2 linked regions of the Lonchura striata genome follow. The protein of the gene in region 1 interacts with the protein of each later gene in a pairwise test. Links are inferred from orthologs where the notes say so. Each region holds a gene or a part of one and is shown on either strand. Other genes may lie near its edges.

What was found.
Region 2: the proteins of ALAS1 (region 1) and CDC73 interact in a two-hybrid assay, tested with the Homo sapiens proteins (3 studies listed by BioGRID and IntAct). The two-hybrid records come from large-scale screens. The link is inferred for Lonchura striata from reciprocal best matches to the Homo sapiens genes ALAS1 and CDC73.

The regions. Positions count from the first base shown.
Region 1 is NC_134614.1:9,951,455-9,961,997, forward strand, and holds the start of ALAS1 (5-aminolevulinate synthase, non-specific, mitochondrial), read left to right. Parts: upstream 1-6,433; 5' UTR 6,434-6,513; coding exon 6,514-6,709; intron 6,710-7,579; coding exon 7,580-7,786; intron 7,787-8,751; coding exon 8,752-8,907; intron 8,908-8,986; coding exon 8,987-9,209; intron 9,210-9,663; coding exon 9,664-9,848; intron 9,849-10,423; coding exon 10,424-10,543.
Region 2 is NC_134611.1:27,286,899-27,296,486, reverse strand, and holds the start of CDC73 (parafibromin), read left to right. Parts: upstream 1-5,603; 5' UTR 5,604-5,651; coding exon 5,652-5,782; intron 5,783-9,588. Other genes in the region: GLRX2 (glutaredoxin 2), read right to left, coding at 62-121.

The sequences.
Region 1 (10,543 bases):
AGTCCCCCCCTCTCTGTCATATAGGGGAGATAACCAGAAAGGTGGAAGTGTAAAAACTTGTGGGTTGAGATAAAGTCAGTTTAATAACTAAAAAAGAGGACAAAAGTGACAGAGAGAAAACAAGTGATGCAAAAGAAAACAATTGCTTACCACCAACTGACTGATGTCCTGTAGTCCCTGAGCTATGACAATCAACCTCCACCCTCCCAGTTTAACTGCTGATTTTGATGTCATATGGTGTGGAATATCTCTCTGCTCAGTTGGGGTTGTCCCCTCCCAACTTCTTGTGTGCCCCTAGCCTACTTGCTGGCAGGGCAGTGTGAGAAACAGAAAAGCCCTTGACACTGCACAAGCACTGTTCAGCAATGACTGAAAGTCCCTCTGTTATCATCACTGTTTTAATCAGAAATCCAAAGCACAGACTACACAAGCTGCTATGAAGAAAACGAACTCTATCCCAGCCAAAACCAGCACATTTTTAGAGGACAAGAGGGAGAGAAAAAGGTCTGCTGCTTGCTTTCTAGCAATCTTCCCGACAGAAAACTCCTAACATTGCTTTAAGGGAGAGAGCCCATAGGCTCCAGCACAGCATTTTTCACTGCCATAGGTTGATTTCTTGTTTTCGAGGACTTGGACAATCCCCTTTCTGCTTTGACTTCAACCTGCCTGCCAAAGCCCACAACAGCATAGGTATAAGCAACATAAGGGACTCTCACTAGAGATGCCTGGTATAGCAAAGGTGTTTTACTACATAAGCATGACTTGAGTGTCTTTCTGGGCCTAAAGCATTTAAATTCACTCAATTCTGTCCTCTGACAGCTGTCCTTCCTATATAGCGTGCAGCAGACGATCTGTCTAAATACTTTCTGGAAACCCCAGTTCCAGATTTCTATAGAGAGCTCTGACTAAAGATCAAAGTCCTTTCCCCACTCTCTCACACCTTCAATATAGGAAGTACTTGAATTCACATTTTCTACTCTGTTGAGTAGACTTCAAGCTCCTAAACTGGATGTAGAAGGTGCTCTTTCTGACTGAGTACCTAACGAGGAACAGGGAGAGCCGAGATATGCAAGAAAAGTGACAGGCTGAATAACTTCAATAACCATAACTAAAATTATATTGGTTGAGGTCTACTAGTTCTTTGTAAAAGGAGGAAAACTGTGTGAGAGGAGGAAATGAGGGTGTGGAGGCAAGTCATGGCAAGTGCAGCAAAGCACAGTAGCTGGAAGGATTAGTGCATCATTTCCTGCTATGTGCTGCACAAAGCAAGATAAACTCAACAGTGCAAGATAAAAAAAAATATTATTATGTGATTGTCCACATCTGAAGCAACATGAGAGATGTCAGGGAGATATTCTGGACTTAGGATAAGCCACTGCTGGATGTGTTAATCAGCTGGGCTGTGGACTGCAGCAGCAGTGTGGGGTGGTGCCCTTCAGTGGGACAGTGAGGTACCTTGTATTAGGGTGGCAACAGCTTCCACTGCCCAGACTGAGCCTGACTCACGCTGCTGGGATGGGACTTGGCCAGGAAACCAAACTCCTCTGCAGCAATGGGCAGCTCCTGGGGCCTGGCAGACAAGAAAAGTGCCCTGACCCAACAGCCTTGTGAGGGCCCACCAGCAGTCCATGAATTTTAGGAGATCCACTACAGTAGGGAACAAAACAACTCATTTTCTTTTGTATAAGAGGGGTATGGATCTTGCCTGGCCTGTGTCAGTGATTCAGGGGTGCTGCTCAGCCACTCTGCAACACGAGCGTCAGCATCCAGCAGCTCCTCCAGCTTGCTCAAAGTCTCTGCTGTTTAGAGGGTCCTAGAAAGGAATGTGATTTCCTGTTCTGTCCTGTGAAGACACTGGCTCCAAATCAGGAAACGTGTTAAAGAAATTCACCATCAGAACTGTCACTATGCAGCTGCTATGACAAGCCTCCAATTTTGCCTTAAAAGGTAAATAAAGTAAATCCTCTGTAAGAACTGCTGGTCTCAGGACCGGAGGTGGAAGTTCTCAAATGAAGCCTGGAATCTGAGTCTGGATTAAATCCAGATGTCAGGATCACACCCACTCCCTCAGAAAATTCAGATCTCAATATAGACAAGGGTAGGGTTTGTGCATGGGGAGGGGGAATTGTTTTTCTGGCTTGCCCTCTCTGACACTGACAGGATGGGAAAAAATTAGGAATATGCACAGCCCTGACTTCAGAAGTGGGCAAAAGGGATTAAATGTTGCTAATTATGGTGCAGTTATAGCCTTTCATTTGAACAGGCTGAATGCAGAAGGGCTCTGACCTTCGCTTTTCTGCTAAATATCTAAATGCTCTCTTCAAAGCATAAAATTAATGAAAATGCTTTGAAAGGAGCTACCTGCAGACAAATGCAAGGGCAGATGGATGCTACAAACCTGTGAACCAAGTTCTGCTTCCAGGAATACTGGGGAAAACATGCTTGAGAGAAGAGGGATGGGAGGGAAGTATTCAAGGTAATTTACAGATGACCATACATGGTAAACCAGCAACATGGAAAGAGACCATGTTCATCAGCAACACTTCATAGACATCTGCAGACATTAAAGGGAATTTTCCCCATTTCAATTTCTCTGTGGGAAGCACTTTCTGTGGCTTCTCATCCACCAAACTGCTGGAATTTAACCTTGTTTTCCCTTAACTTTTATTTAGCTAAGAAAATAACAAATCATCAGAACAGAATGGGCTTTAGGAAACTAAAAGCAGCAGAGGCTCTCAGGATAGCTGAGTCTTCCCTTCTCTTCCTCTGCCACTGCAACACATGGGCCTTTCAGGCAGATTGAGCTTCCTCAACTCAATCCATCTGGTCTCAGGGACCAGCTCTAAAAGCTGCTCCAAAACACAGCAAGGAACTACTCACCTTCTGCCCTACATTTTGTCAGGGCCAGCTGAACAAATCTGTTCTCACATCAGTGCTACCCCCTCTGCTTAAACGCTTTTCCTCCTTTATTACGTTACTCTGCCCTTTCTGTAGTACCAAGCAGCCATTCCTTCTCCCCTGCCTGCTGGACCTGCTGCCTCTCTCCAATCTAAGCCTGCTTCTTCTCTCTCAGGATGGGCTCCCTGTTCTCTTCTGGGCTGCCACTGGCCCTGCTGCACACTGTGCTCCTCCTGCAGCACGGCAAACAGCGTTCTAGGATGGCAGTAATACACTGCCACAATTCACATCCTTAAACACCGTTTAATTAATCCACTGAAGCCCTAAGAAATTTTAATTAACCGTGGCTTTATTAGTATTTACCTCACCTTCAACATGTAAGCTCTGACAGTATTTCCAAAGGGAGGAAGGGCACTGGCAGAGCAGTTGACAAGACACCCTTTTTCTGACTTTTCCCTGCTCTGCTGCTCCCAGAGCTCCAGCCAACTTCGTGCACTGACAAGGACAGCACCCTCCAAGATGAGGGTCAAGTTAACATCGTTCCGCTGCTCTGCGCAATTCCTGTCAAGTACAAGGTTAAATACATTCACCAAAACCAAGTTTAAAAGAAGTGTTGTTGCAGTGTTTGATGAACAGCACAGATTGGAGGGGAGTCTGACAGGAAAGCTGAGAGTTCTGCTCCATTTGGAGATCTCCAGATCGTAGCCAAGGTCACCGTGTCTCAGCTGCCAGCCTTGAATGACGCTTGTGTAAAAAGCAGATGCTCTTCAGGCTTCACATGCACTGCTGAATACAAACCCACCAGTCTCTGAATTCCAGCAACCAAGCAGACTAACACACTTCATCCCCCAGCCCTACAACGTGGCAAGATGCTGCTGTTCAGATTACCAGGATAAAGGAGGATTATCAGATTTCTGAGGGATCTAACCTGCTGTGGCAGGTGTCCAGGCAGACAAGCTCTGCAGCCTCTTGCAGCAGATTTGTGCTCATTTGCACAACACCTTTCTCTGGTGCCTCTTACAACAAAACACACATTCCCTCAGAGCTAAGTATGATGGATGATTATTAAGGGAAAAATAGGAGGAGAAAGAAAAATGCTCTCAATATACTATAAATCAAGCTTATAGGACTTGATTTCTGTTGCTAAAACTGCAATTAACCCCAGGGGCACAGGAGTGATCCCTTAGGCCCAGACACATTAACTGTGCTCTAAGGACACTTGTCAGGTATCCACAAGTTAGAATGCCATGATGTCCCCTCAATCTTTAGAATAACTGATGTGATACAAAACTTCAGGGTAGAGAGTCAAATGCTGCTGTTCCAGGAAAAGAGGACAGCAGTAATCTGAAACAAAGATCAGGTGTCTTTAAACTTACTATTTTGCTAGATGCTTGAGGTATGTAACACTAGCCAAAACACGGTGGTGGGAGGGAAAAAACCCAAAAATAAATTATTAATACGCAACTGAAATAATAATTCAAAACACTACCCTGGAACTACCAAATGATCAGGACTCCTGCTACCATAACTTCTACAGAGGCTGAGGTCAAATACCACTGCCCTGCTTTAATAATTTATCTACAGAACAAATTAAAACTAGCACATATCTGGTTTAATGATGCCAATTATGCATCACACTGGCAAATACTGAGTTAAGATCTGAGCATTGAGGCTTCTCCTGTAACATTGTCTTAAATTTCTAATAAGCAAGAAGCAAATTCTGCTTAAAACACACCTACTAAAGCCCCACTAAAACCCAAATCTCACACCCTACCTTGTAGAACTCCAGCTAACTTTTTCAGGGCTTTGTAAGTAGTACATGAAGGGCAGAATTCTGTCCCATTTCCTGCCTCAGAGCTTAGTAACACAGTAGAGCTGACATAAAATCTGACATTTGACTATGAGGTTTCCCTCCTGACCAATTTACTCAGATCCCAAAGTTTACAAACTGCATGCGGCATCCTCAAAGTGAGTCAGTGGAGAATAAAAGAGGGTCAGGCAAATACCTTGCTGGTTGTCTCCCAGATTAAAGATTAATCTGCAATACCTAAATGCTAACCAACACTTTTAGCAGTGTTTTCTTATAGCCAAATTTGTGTTCAGCAGCCACAGTCCTACACAGGCTTTTATTGCTCTAGTCATGCTACATGAGCACCTTCTAGTAACTACACAATGTGACTTCATGCAGGGCAAGAGCCAAGAGTGACCTTTAAGAAAGTTCTCCTCCCAACTCCACACCTGTTACAAAACCCACTCCTGCCCCAAAGTGCCCAAGACAGCTCTTGGCTCTCTACCCAAATCCTGTCTTCCGTGAAATTGTTTCACAAGATGAGGGAAAAAATGCGTTGTCGTTTTTCCTTCTCCATTCTTTCCACACTTGAGCAGTCAGTGCTTACAGGAAGTAGCACTGCCGTGGTTTGAATGGCCATACGCATGAGAACTCCCCTTAGCATTAAGCTTCCCACCAAATACTCTTGTAAGCAAACAAGCTTTAATGTCCATTGCAAACCAGAGAACGAAGGCTTCTATTTTATTTGTTGCTGTTGTTCTTTCTTTTAAAACCCGGCAAAAATGCAATGGTGAAAGTCTGAGCATCATCTACAGAGGAGCTGAAGATTAGTACCAGCTGTAGGAAAAGTGAGAGGAGCTCAGGATCCCACCACCACCACCTGAGCCCCAGGGCAGGGGCTCTGCAGGCAGTCAGGAGCGCATTTAGGAATAAAACACCGAGCAACACTGGATTTCCCCCAGCTGACTCAGAGCTCGCCTTTCCCCGGCGCGCTGGGCTGACCCCGAGTCTCCTGTCCTGCGGGCAAGGGAGCCCAAACCTCCCGGGAGACAAGCACGGCAGAGCCCGGGGCTGCGGGGCACCCCGAGCAGCGGCCCATGCCCACAGCCCCCGGCAGGGCGGGCTGCCCCCTCCCCTCACAGCCCCCGGCAGGGCGGGCTGCCCCCTCCCCTCACGGCCCCAGGCAGGGCCGGCTGCCCCCTCCCCTCACGGCCCCCGGCAGGGCGGGCTGCCCCATCCCCTCACGGCCCCCGGCAGGGCGGGCTGCCCCCTCCCCTCACGGCCCCCGGCAGGGCGGGCTGCCCCATCCCCTCACGGCCCCCGGCAGGGCGGGCTGCCCCATCCCCTCACGGCCCCCGGCAGGGCCGGCTGCCCCCTCCCCTCACAGCCCCCGGCAGGACCGGCTGCCCCATCCCCTCACGGCCCCCGGCAGGGCGGGCTGCCCCCTCCCCTCACAGCCCCCGGCAGGACCCAAGCGCCGCCGTGCCCTCACCGCGGCAGCGCTCAGCGTCCCGCACACCTCACAGCGCCCCAGCTCCCCCACGGCTCCACACCGCCCCAGCCCTCACGGGCGCCAGGGGCCGCGATGCCTCCAGCCCCTCACGCCCCCGCGGTCTCTCCCTGTCCTCGGGCCGCTCCCGCCGTCCCACGACCCGGCGAGGTCCCTCACACCGCCCCAGAGCCGCCGGGCGCCGCCCCGCTCCTCCCCGCGCCTGCGCCGCGCCCCCGGCTCTATAAAGGCGGCGGTGCGGGAGCGCCGCGCGGTGCCGCCTCCCGTCGCCGGTGCTGCTCTGCCGTCACCTCCGGTGTCCCGTCCGACTGCGAGGATGGAGGCGGTGGTGCGGCGCTGCCCGTTCCTGGCCCGTGTGTCCCAGGCGTTCCTGCAGAAGGCTGGGCCGTCGCTGCTGCTGTACGCCCAGCACTGCCCGCGCATGATGGAGGCGGCCCCGCCGGCCGCCCGCGCCCTCGCCACGTCCGCCGCCCGCGGGCAGCAGGCGGAGGAGGAGAGCCCCGCGGGCCGCGGTGAGTACGGCCGGGGAGCGAGCCGAGGGGGGAAAATGACACAGACATTGCATGTCTCGGGGGGGAAAAATGACACAGACATTGCATGTCTCGGGGGGGAAAAATAACACAGACATTGCATGTCTCGGGGGGGAAAAATAACACAGACATTGCATGTCTCGGGGGGGGAAAAATGACACAGACATTGCATGTCTCGGGGGGAAGCTTCTGGAATAGGCAGCGCTGAGGCTGAGGGGTTGCTTAATCCTTGAAATGTCCGCGGTAAAGGAAATGTGTGGCCGTGGCACGAGTCAGGGACCGCCTGATCCCGAGGGGCGTCCCGAGGCGAGCCCCGGGTGGGGATCCGGGATCCTGGGTCTCCGAGCGGTGTTTCTCACGGTACACTGGCCCTTCTCGCCACCCGGGAACATTCCTTGGGGAATTCTTCCCCGGGCACTCAGAGGAAGGATTTGAGGCTCAGAGCAGAAGCTGCATGGCTGAAAAATCTCTGAAGTGCCTGAAAGAAGGTCACAGAATCACAGTTAGGTTAGAAAAGACCTCTGAGGTCTAGTCCAGCCTATGACTGAACACTACTATGTCAACTAAACATAGCACTTACTGCCATATCCAGTCTTTCCTTAAATATTCCCATTGGGAGTGAGGTATTTCTGCCCCTCAAAGAGTACAGTGCTAGATCTAGCATCTTAAATCAGATGTCCCTTGGGTGTTAACTGGGATTTTGCACTTGTGTAAATAAAATACGACTGCTCAGTTAAATAGTTCTGAATAGGTCCTGGCAAATTAATTGCAAAAGTAATGGATCAAAAAACTAAAGTCAGGGTATTAAAATGATGAAGCTGAATTGTTTTACCTTCTCTGCCCCCATCTCAGAGGCCAAAAATGTCAAAGAAGTGGCCCAGCAGAATGCAGATGGAACCCAGCTTCCTGCTGGCCACCCACCTGCCAGTGCTAGCCAGAGTACGGCTACCAAGTGCCCGTTCCTGGCAGCTCAGATGAATCACAAGAAGAGCAACGTTTTCTGCAAAGCCAGCCTGGAACTGCAGGAGGATGTGCAGGAAGTGCAGGCTGACAGGAAAGGTATGTTCTCTGTGCACTGAAGCAGTGATTCTTCCCGAGAGCCTCTGGTGCCTGACTTGCATCTGGAGCGTGCCAGGTCTGCCGGCACCGCTGAAATGATGCAGCTGGGATTATGGGAGACGGCAGGGAAGAGCTGCTGGAGAATGTAGGTGTTAATGACATACCTGTGACGTTGTGTGGGGCTTCCCTGGGTGATTTTGATGTGGGAATACCATGAGCTGTATTTTGATGTGCTGGCTGGCTCTAGATGTGTGAGTCAAGCTGTTACACTTGCACCCAAGCAGATGCTTAGATCTGAAGAGAGCTTTGCCAGAGTGCTGGTTTAGATAAAGGTTTTATATCCAAAGATGGTTCACAGTGTCGAGACACCAGGCAAGTACCAGCACAAATCCAAGCTTGAAAAGCAGGCAAGTGGTTTTGGGGTGGTGTTTTGGTGCTTATGGAATTAAAGAATGTTGGCTGGCTTGCAGTGGTAGTGTGGAAGGGCTGTCCTTCAAAGGAAGGAACTTCTCAGCAGTTTCAGTAAAGCCCTGCTGCCTGTCTCAGAAGGCTTGTTTTACTTTTGTTTGCCTCTTGTGGCATAGTTTAAAAATCTGTGCTAATAGACAAAAAGGAAGCGGCTGACTAGAACTCTGCCTTCCATTAGGTGTGTATGGAATCCTTTCAGATGAGTGCTGTAGCTGTATAGTGTGGTTCTTTGAGTCATGATGAACCATATACTTTATAAGGAATTTGCCTGTTGTATTGTGATTGATTAGCAAGGCTAATCCTTCTGTCTTGTCAAAGGCAAATTTGTAAGCAAATAAAATAGTTCATCCTAGCAGGATCAACGTGGGATTTTGGACATGTCCTTCCTAAAGATTGAAATGTTGGTTTTACTTTAAATGTTTGCTTTGCTGAATTCAACTTACTTCACTCTGTTTCAAACCAAACAAATTCACTGGAATTTATTCCAATATCTGTAGGTACGGAATTTACCAAAATCCCGAGTACTTCAACAGTGAGAAAGATTGAGAGTGAGGGAGCAGAGCAGAGTGGCTTGCTCAAGAAGTTTAAGGATATTGTGCTGAAGCAAAAACCGGAAAGTGTCTCTCATCTGCTTCAGGATAATTTGCCAAAATGTAAGAATGTCTGGCAAACCCCCCAGAGGCCTGGGCTGTTGTGATAATTTCCTGTGTGCTGAAGTCTGTCTCCTTTCAGCTGTATCCACCTTCCAGTACGATCAGTTCTTTGAGAAGAAGATAGATGAGAAGAAGAAGGATCACACCTACCGAGTGTTCAAGACTGTGAACAGGAAGGCGCAGATCTTCCCCATGGCAGACGACTACACTGATTCCCTGATCACCAAGAAGGAGGTGTCTGTCTGGTGCAGCAATGACTACCTGGGCATGAGCCGCCACCCTCGGGTCTGTGGAGCAGTTATGTGAGTGGTGCTGTGTTCTTAAGAGGTGTTTTCAAGCTGTATCTTGTGGGAAGGCTTCTGAAAAGCTGATTTCTATACTGTGGGACATAAGATGCTTCTGATGCGATTCTTGCTGTGCAGTTAAGATTACACTTGTTTATTGGGTGGTCACTTAATGTTTAGATCCAGGCCTGCACTGTGTATATTGGTCACTGATGGTGCTCCTTGGATCTTCCTTAAAAGCCCCAGATGTTGCCAGATAAACTGGATGGTATACCAGCTGTGCTTGGTCACTGACATCTGACCTTAATGGACTCCTGAGTGTGCAGGTTGCTCTGAGACTCAACAGCTGCTTTTTGCTGCCAGTTCTTCTTTAGAACAGTCTTGATTATGTACCAGAATGTTTTGAGCAGTGACCCTTTACTCTTCTGTGTGTCCCACAGCAATGCTAATGCCTCTCTTTGGCCCTCTTTAGGGAAACACTGAAACAACATGGTGCTGGAGCAGGAGGCACCAGAAACATATCAGGAACAAGTAAATTTCATGTTGACTTGGAAAAAGAACTAGCTGATCTTCATGGAAAAGATGCAGCACTGTTGTTCTCATCTTGCTTTGTAGCCAATGACTCCACTCTCTTCACTCTAGCTAAAATGCTGCCAGGTAAGATCTCAAATTGTACCTGTGTTGCCACAAAAACACAGCCTTGCCTCAAGCTGTTGGGAGTATGTTTTGCAAATGGCTGTCCAAAGTGAGGATTTGCCCTAACCCATGGGCAGAGTATGGTTTCCTGGTTTTAATACCAAATTCAAGTTACATTCAGTACAAATGACAATATCAACCTACTGAGATTGAGATCTATGAGGTGTGAACTCCTTGAGGAATTACACCAGCTGAGTCTTCTGTTCTTGTGTTTAAACTCTACCTGAAAATAAGACAGCAGGAATTTAGTGTCCTTCCACTGGAAGGGGTGAACTTCTCTCTCACTTCAGAAGTTAGGAGAGTTTGATAACTATTTTCTCAAGCTCTCATTTATGTTAGTTTGAATACCTAAAATAAATCTCAAATATTATTCTTGCTTCCATGATCTGTAACTTGCTCTTTTGATCAAGAGCATTACTTTCAAGAACAAACTACCCTTGTTTCCTGAGCTCTTGCCATACGTAATGCAATGCTAGGAATCAGTTAATGTGTTCCATACTTAAAATGTAACTGGGCTTGTAACCTATTTTCCTCAGGTTGTGAGATCTACTCTGATTCTGGAAACCATGCCTCCATGATCCAGGGGATCTGTAACAGCAGGGTGCCAAAACATATATTTCGCCATAATGATGTCAACCATCTCCGAGAGCTATTGA
Region 2 (9,588 bases), on another chromosome or scaffold:
TTTGAAGTAACAGGTTTTTATAAATGCTGAAAATCAGCAAAAGCAACATAAATAATGCTACCTGTATTTGATTCACAGCAGCATTAGACAATCCTACAGAAGCGGTCTGGCTGTTCCCCATTCTAGAACTAAAAAGAAATGACAGTCAGATCTTCGAGCTTTCAAAGAATCGCCACGTTGCCCTGTTTTGTTTCGGTATTTCGCTGACTTCTCCATGAGAGTTGACCTGAGCTGCACCACCTGCAGCCACCCCGCTTCTCTCGTGCCTGCAGATCAGGGGAGCGGCGGGATGGCGGCGGCTGCGAGCGCCCGGCGGGGCCGTTACACGGGAAACGCTCCGCGCCGCCGGCGGCAGGGCACACCCGCGGGGGACACCCGCGGGGCACACCCGCGGGGGACACCCGCGGGGCACACCCGCGGCACCGCGCTCCGCTCCTGCCTGCCGCGGGCCCGGCACCCGGCACCCCGCCCCGCTCCCGAGCCCTGCCCTCATCCCGATCCCGGACCCAGTCCTTGTCCCGATCCCAGTCCCGGTCCCGGTCCGGCGCCCCCGGCCCGCTCTCACCGCCCGCCCCAGGCCGCCGCCAGCCGGCGCAGCGCCCCCTGCAGGGCCATGGCCGCCGCCGGAAGGGGCGGCGCTGCCCTCAGCCCTCACGGCGCTGCGGCGCCGCTCCTCGCAGGGCCCCGCGCCGCGCCCGGGGCTGCCCGCAGCGCTGCCGGTGCTCCGGGAGCGCCGGGACGGGACCGGGACAGGGACAGGACCGGGACTGCACGGGGACAGGGACAGGGACAAGGATAGGGACAGCACAGGGACAGGGACAGCACGGGGACAGGGACAGGGACAGCACGGGGACAGGGACAGCACGGGGACAGGGACAGCACGGGGACAGGGACAGGGACAGCACGGGGACAGGGACAGGGACGAAGATAGGGACAGGGACAGGGACAGCACGGGGACAGGGACAGCACAGGGACAGGGACAGCACGGGGACAGGGACATTACGGAGACAAGGACAGCACGGGGACAGGGCCAGCACAGGGGCAGCACGGGATGGGGCGGCTTTCCCAGGATGGGGTCGGGAGAGCCATGAAGAGGGGCTGGATTTCCCTGAGGCCGCGGAGCCGCTCCTGGTGTGGGGAAGTTGGGCAGATTTGGCCTCCTGCCCGGCTGGCTTCCTGATGTGAGGGTTTCAGCGCTGCCTTTGCTTTGTCCAGTGTCAAACTTACTTTAAGTCTTCTCCGTCCCCGTTTCTGTTGCCTGTTCTTCCTCACGTTTCTTTCCTGCCTTGCAGTTCCTCGGTCAGAAACTGACCAGTGAAACAGGAGTTGGGGACGGAGTAAATAATGGGTGGGGGATGAAGAGCTGCTCTTGGTACCTGGGAAGTTTGTTAGTGGAATTGGCTAATCATGTAATGTGTGGAATGTTTTTAGTGGCTCATGGAAAAAAAAAAAAAAAGAGAGGTCTTACTTTATGTGGAGGCGTTGGGTATTTTATTTCCTTTTATTTCCTCAGTAGAAGCTATTCAACAATATTCTGTTATTTCACCCCCACATATCTTGCTGTGGAGCCTGGTCAAATACGTGTCCCTGGCAGAGCACTCCTGTGGAATATCCTCTGAGCAGCCCCTCTGGGGTCTGTACAAGTATTTCAGTAGTGGAGAAACTTTTCTAATCCCTCTGTGTTGAGAGTAAATTGTGCTCTGGATCACTGTTCAGTGCGAACAGCAACAGTTCAGTGCTCAGCCCTATGTTTTAAAAAATGCTGCAAGGAAATGCACTCATGTGCTGATTTGTTTTTGCTCATATGTGTCTGTAAAAAAGGGAGTGTGTGCTCATGCATGATGTATCTTTCTGGATGTTGATTAATCTTAAATGAACTTACCTATGATGTAAATTTGTCTAATATTTTGCAACTTAATTTTGCTTTCCTACAAAACATCAGTGTAACCTGTTAAAGTAGTGAGAAAATGCAAGTGAAACATTGTATCCATGTAATATACTTTCATTTTTCTAAATGGTAACTTACTTGCCCATTTCAGATAATGATTTTGTAGCCCAATGTTCTGTGATAAAGCTGATAAACTCTCAGGTATCTAATGCCACATGAAAATAGTTTCACATCAAATCCTGATTCAATGATTTAAATGCTGGTTAATTGTGTCACTATGATTCCCAAAGCAAACTGTGGGAACTATTTTGTACACTCCCAGTTGAAGCGGCATGTTAAGAGTAAACCCACTATATTTTTGCATTAAATTTGGCAGAAAATCACCCCCCTGGCATCCCAGCTGTTCCTCAGATATCAGAGGGACTGGGACAGCTGGGTTTAGCTTCTGAGCCGTGGGCAGTTCCGCAGCAGACATGCAGAGGTGGTGTGGCACTGGAAAGAGCTGACCTTTGGAGTTCCTCCCAGCCCAGCCCAGCCCGTGGTGAGTCCCCTGTGTGCAGAGGTGTGTGTGAGCCCACGAATGTGAACCATACAGCCAGCCACAAGCACAGTCAGATGGGAGATGCCAGTGTAGCACTAAGAGTATGATCACAAGCACAGGCTGGCTTTCTGAATTTCCCGAGGTGCTTACCTGGTATAGCCGAGTGCTGGAGTCTGACCCAGTAGGTGTCCCTGTGGGGAGGAGCTAGCTAGAGCCCTCTGACAGTGCCAGGATACAGAGATGGAGTCTCCTCCGACCTCCCTTACCTCTAAAGCTGTATTTATATTGTTTTCAGTGAGTGGCAGGAGAAGGTGAAGTTATGTCTGACATAATTTGCCATTGAAGTGGAGCTTGATTTTAGTAATGAGCATATATGGGGGGTATTGACACAAAGCTGGGGCACGGCTTGGGTCATTCCTTTGGCTTAGTTCCTGTTACCTGCATTGTTCCTGCCAGAGCATGACCACGGCACCCCTGTGCCACTCCATCCTTTGTTTCCTATCTGCATTGATTTCAGCAGGGCGAGACCAACTCTCTCCCTGCTGCTCCCTGCTTTGTTCCCTGCTCCCAGAGCAGCACGCCGGGCTCCTGCAGGGATGCTGCTCCTAAGGGTGCAGGCAGCTTGTCCCTCCTGAGCTACTGCCAGCACACAGACTCCTTCTTGCTCAGCTTTCTTTTTCAGTGTTCTCCCAGTGAAGGCAGCCTTAAATGAAAAAGGAAACCAGAACCACAACGTTTTCTGGAAACCTGAAAGTAAATCTCTTTGTAGCTGTGTGTGCAGCTGACTGTTCACTGCACCATTCCCTGCTCCCTGAGCAGCAGATTGGGCAGAACTGAAATGAGGGGCTTTTTGGGTCATTGTAACCCATGAAAAGAAGTATTGCTTGTAGTGCAGCAGATGTATAGGATGTGTTTCTGAGGAGGTAGCACTGGTTTAAGGGACACACTGGGCCTTTTGGATGAGGCATGGAAATGGGACTTGGCCTGCGGGAAGCATTTCAAGCCCTGTTCCAATTTTCATGAGCTGTAGTTCCAGTAATAATTCCAAATCCAGTTCAGGAAATGATATTGTTTATTCATCATGCCTTTGTCTTCTAAACACACAAATACTACTCTATACCCATTGACAAATAAACATTGGCAGTGATTGGTATAATTCACCATGTTACTGGGTGTTGTAGTACATATTTGTGTGCTAGACTATTTCAATACCACATCTGAAATGTTTTAAATACACTTGTGGTGCTCTGCATGTTGTTGTTCTGACACAGATGGGGATATCACTAATGTACTGAAACAGGGAATTCTATAGGCTGTTGGCTTTTGGTCTGTTTTCTCAGTCTCAGCACATGTTACTTACAAGAATGAAAATTAACCAATTCTGCCTTTTGCAAATCTAAGACGGTATCATGCTTTCTGCCAGTGTTGAAGAGTGTTAAAAAAATTCTGAGCATCAAAGGTTAGAATAAGTCATGATGAGAGTTTGTTTGGGGGTCTCAGATCCTGCAATCAGTATTCCCTAGGGGGTACCAGTTTGGTTCTTCTGGGAATGCTATGCTCCCAGTTTTTGTGTGTTTGAGCAGAAGAAATTAACTTGGAACATGGAGAGAGCATGGAGAGAGCACATACCAGCTGCAGCTGTGCAGTTGCTCAGGTGAGCAAACAGAGATCCCAGATTCTGCAGGGTAATGTGGGATGTGCTCCATGGCATTACTGTTTGTCCTTCACATTTACAGGCAACATTTTCCTAATGACCTTTTGTTTGCTATGGCCTTTTGACGGCTTATATCTATCAGAATTAAAGGACTTTTTTGTGATTGATAAAGCAGAGACTTCTCAGTCTTTTTTTTTTTTTTTTTACCCAGCTTTATATCCAGGAGATTTTCTCTCCAGCCTGCAGAGCGAGATGCATGCACAGTGTCTGAGAGAATCAGCCACAGAATATCCTGGGTTGGAAGGAACCCACAAGGATCATTGAGCTGAACTCCTGTCCCTGCACAGGACACTCTAATAATTCCAGCATGTGTCTAAAAACATTGCCTAAAAGCTTCTGGAACTCCGGCAGGCCTGGGACCATTACCTGCCCTGGGGAGCCTAACCCATCATCCCTCATCTGGGTGAGGAGCCTTTTCCTGATGTCCAGCATAAACTTCATTGATACTGCTTCCTGCTGTTCCCTCTGCTCCTTTTACACTGTTTTCTTGGGGTATTCCTGTGACCCTGCTGTCCCAGCCCTTACCAACCACAGGCTGCTGGGCACATGGCTGGGAGTGATGACATAAAACCCCCTTAACACCCCCAAACCCCTCCCAGGGCCCTTTAAAACCTCTTTAGTGTCACTAAAACCCCTCCAAGTACACCATACCTCATCCCAGCTCCCCCAACACCCCTCAAACCTCCTCAGCACCTCCAAACTCATTTTATCTCTCTCAGACCCCTCCCAGCACACCCTAAAGCCCCATTAGCACCTCAAATCCCTTTGAGCACCCTCTCAAGTCTCTTTAGCCCCGCTAAAACTCCTCCCGGTGTACCACATGCTATCCTAGCATCCCCAAACGCCCCTCAAACCTCAACATCCCCAAAGCTCCTTTTAGTTGTGCTTTAGCATCCACGAATCCCTCCCAGCATTCCTAAAACCCCGTTAGCACCACCAACCCCCTTCCAGCACCCTCTAAAACCCCTTCAGCACCACCAAAACCCTTCGTTACCCCCGCCCAAAACCATCCCAGCGCGCCCGGGGAGCGCGGCGCAGCCGGGAGCACCAAAGCTCCAGAGAAGAGAAGCAGCGCCGATAGACTTCGGCAGTGACTGTGTGTGAAGCTCTATTTTCACATAAGACACAAGAAAGCCCCGTGTGCCCAGGACGGACAAAGCCGCCCCCACACGCCCCGCCCCGCCCCGCCCGGGCCGCCGTGAGGGCGGGGGGCGTGGCCTCCACCGTGAGGGCAGAGGGGCGTGGCCTCCACCGTGAGGGCAGAGGGGCGTGGCCTCCGCCGTGAGGGGGCGTGGCCTCCGCCGTGAGGGCAGAGGGGCGTGGCCTCATCCGGCCCCGCCCCTCCCTGCGGGGCGGGCCCGCGCCGCTGCCATGGCAACGAGTCCGGCGTCGCCTCAAGTAGGCGGCGCGGCGGCGCCGGCTCAGGCATTCGCGGCGGGCAGCCCGGGGCGCGCCGGCGGGGTCCTGCGGCGGGCGGCGGCGGCCGGAGCGGCGGCGGCCGGGCGAAGATGGCGGACGTGCTGAGCGTGCTGCGGCAGTACAACACGCAGAAGAAGGAGATCGTGGTCAAGGGCGACGAGGTGATCTTCGGAGAGTTCTCCTGGCCCAAGAACGTCAAGACCAACTATGTCATCTGGGGGTGAGCGACACGGCCGGGGCGAGGGGCGGCTGGGGGGAGAAGTTGCCCCAAAGTTGCGGCGGGGACGGGAGCGCTGCCGTCCTTGGCGGCCCCGGCGCTCCGCGGGTGGCGAGCGGGACGGGGCCGGGCGGGCCGGTGCCGCCCCCCGCAGGGCCCCGGTGCCCCGGCGCCCTGCCCGGCTGTCCCGCGGGCGATCCCCGTCCCGGCAGCCCGGCCGGGCAGGGCGCGCCCGCCGCTCCCCTCGGGAACGTTCCCGGGTGCAGCCCGCGGCCGGCGGAGCCGCGGCCGGGTCGTGCCTCGGCTCCCGGCGCTCCTGCCCGTGCCGCCCGCGGGGCCGCGTCCTGCAGACTCATGCGATGAGATGGCAGCAGGCAGCTTCTCCCAAGTTCTCCCGGGTGTTCGGTGGGAAAGACGCGTTGTGTTGCTCGGACAGCGCTCTCAGGCGCACGGTGGGATTCCTGGGGTATTTCGCGCGGGGCCAGGAGTTGCAATCGGTGATCCTGATGATCCCTTCCCACTCAGCATAGTCTGTGATTCTGCTCTCTTGCGTTGTCGGGGCTGCTTCTCGTCTCCTGGAGCTTTGGTGCGCCAGGGCGAAGCCAGCGAGGCCCGGCCCGACGCTGCCTCTGATGAGCTGTGCAGCTGCTCTGCCCCCACCCGAGACCTCCTCCTGGGCAGCACCTGGTGCAGGCTGTTTCCTACTTGGTCTTATCGTAATAAACAAGTAGAGAGAGTGTTTATGTGGCTTAAATAATTGTAGTAGATAACATGCCTGGTTTTAGCCTCTAGTATATGGGGGAGGGGGGTTTACCTGTTGAATTTCCTGGTAGAGCATGGATTGCTTATATTGCAAAGGAGTTTATTGTTAGCCTTTCCTCAGAGTTTAGCTGCTGCTTGCTTCTTAGTGTTCTCACTAGAAGGGTTCCGATTTGTCTTTTTCAAACTTAAGAGGGAAAAATGCTTCTTCTTAAAGCTCAGGTACTGATCAAAGAGGACATGTTATCCTGTGAACCTTTGTGGAAAAGCAGAAGTACCTGCAGGTTTTTCACAAAACCCTGAACTTGTAGTTAAGTCTGACCAGGAATTATTATTTTTTTTTTAAACATTATTATGATATGACTATTATTAGCCTTAGATTGAGAGAGAGAAAGGAAATAAGCCTACTTGCTTATCTTCAGTTGTAGGTGGACTTTTCATACAGAATTTTACTTTGTACCTTATATATTACTAGAAATCTGTTTTTTCATTACCTGTTCTAAGCTTTCAGAAACTAATTTTGGAGTTATTTGTGCTTCCTGTCTGAGTGGGGGATACTGGTATGTGGACTGAAGAGGAAGACAAATATTTGGACAAGCAGAAGTCTTGGCTGTATTTTTGCTGGGCAATGTGTAGACAGATGTGGTGGTTTCCTTGCTACAAGTTGCTTTTCCCAAGTGGTAACAAGTAGTGGTTAAGTAGACAAACAAGTTTCATTGCCCTTCTGCAGGGAACAAGAAACTGATATGCCAGCCCTATCCTATTGCTCAGGAGAGCTTGGATTAGACTCAGAAATTGTTACCAAAAGCCTGAAAGTAGCTGGAGAGCAAACTCTGCTGTGTACAGCCAGGCAGCTTCATCTTCCTGGTCAAGAAGGATGTGTGGGTGAACAGAGGATTCTCTGAGCACAGCAGCTGCAGCTCCTGGCAGAGCTGTGAGTGCTCACCTCCTGGGGTACGTGTGTGGTGCAGTTTGAGGTTTTTTTTTCTTTGGGTTGTTTGAAGTGAATTAGTTCATCTTGGTTTAGACAAGTGGCTTTTGAATTTTTGATAGGATCAGGCTGATCTCAGTTCACAGCATTTCTTGTCAACCACTGTGGCATTTTGCATGTCTCAGCTTTAAATTGAAGACACTGTAAAAATGAGACCAGTTCTGCAAGCCATGCTCAGTAGCTTGAACACCACACTTCAAGAGCTGCTAATTTAGGTAATTGCTACACTCGGGAGGGACATTTTCAAAAACTGTCAAGATTCAAACCCTTTTGTATTCAGGTCACTTGACAGGATCCAAATTATGCTTGCACTGAGCAGGTGTTGGTGGCTTAATCTTTCACAGAACAAACCTTGAGTTCTGTTTTAGGTGTCCCCAGCACGGTTGCTGTAATTGCATCTCCAGCCTGCAGAGAGTAATGCTAGGCTGAAGAGCAGCAGTGGCATTTGTCCCTGCTAGAATTAGAAGTAGTCCCAGGAGACATTTAGCTGTGGCTCCCCGAGCAGCTTAGCTGGCAGAAGTCAGCAGTGCTGCCCTGCATTGCCTTCTCTCTCTGCTAGCACAAGTGTCACCCAAACAGGGAATTGGGCTGAGGAATCAAGCTGAGTAAAAGTCAACCTGGAGGAAAAAAGGAAAAGTGTGGGGGAAAAGCAACTTTAATCCAGTTTAGTTTCCAGATAGTAATTATAGCGATGCTCCTGCTGGCGCATGAAAAAGGCTAGGTGGTTTGAAATGAAGTGGTTTGTGTGTTTTGACCTATGGATCTTAAAGAATAATTAATGAATCTGTTTCAAAACCAAAGGAAGGAATCAATCTACCAGAGAAATTTATTACTTAGTTTGCCTAGTCAAGGGGCTTGGATATGCAGCTGAGTTTTCAAACAGTGAGCAGCTGGTTCTGGGTATTGTCAGCTGTGTGATACTCAGCATGCTTTGTCTTGTGTATTTAAAGTTTTCTGCTTGGATTTGTGGATGAGACACAGGCCCTTAGTACCTCTGTAAAACTACAGGCTTTGAAACAGGAAAGAGGAAATAAAGCTGTTAAAAATTAATAAATTCCTGGTGCCCATAGGTGTAAGGTGAATGGATGAGAAATAATTAAGTTTCTGGTGTTAAAAATGAGCAGGTGAAACTTGCTGTCTCCTATTATATAAACATTTTCTCAATTTTTAAGCTGGATTTTATTTGTAAGAGATGGAACTCTTCCTTATATTTTTGCTTTAATGATTGTCACTGGGTTTGTTGAGGTTCTGCCTCCTATGATTTAATTTTTTTAAGTAAATGATGCTATAGCTGAATATGGGAAATAACAGAATCCATTTATATTTCTACTTTAGATGCTTGTAAATTGAATGAGGCAAGCTACCCTCAGATCTGCCTGTTTTTAGTTCTTTGTGTATTTAGCAGGAGCACGCACTGATGTTGAAATGTCAGTTTAGGCTTAGGTTTTCTCCTTGTGTGCAGCTGTTTGTCCATCTGATGATTTCCTATTAATGTGCAGTATCTTGTCCTCCTAATAAAACATCCTCTTAGAGCCTTAATGAGCATGGGGAATTCTTGTGTGTGTGGTTGAAGTGATGAAGTACCAGCTGTGCCCTGCTGAGCTTTGGCAATGCCTGTGGCTTTAACACTGTATTGTTTCAATTAATAGATAACGGTTCAGTATTTGTTTGTTTTTATATCTTGGATTTCTTGCTAAATATTGTAAAGTTTGAGTAGATGACCAACTGGACTTTTCTATTGTGCTCAGTGCATATGACACACTTCAAAGAAATAATGAGTGATTCTGAACTAAGACAATCTAAAGTGTTTGTTTTAAAATGAAGTGACAGCTGTATCACGTGACATGATGGCTTTGCTTCGGAGCCAAGCCTGTGTGGAGGAAGCTTTTGTTTCTGCTAGTGCTTCCAGTGTGTTTAGATACCACCTTATCAAAGATCCTCACTGCTTTGCTGCTTGTTCAAACAGTTCCTTGCTGAGGAATCCAGTTCTGGTGGCTGCCTGTAGTTGTGAAGTTTTGGCTTCTTAGCAGTTGAAAGGAAGAGCCTGTGTGTCAACTCC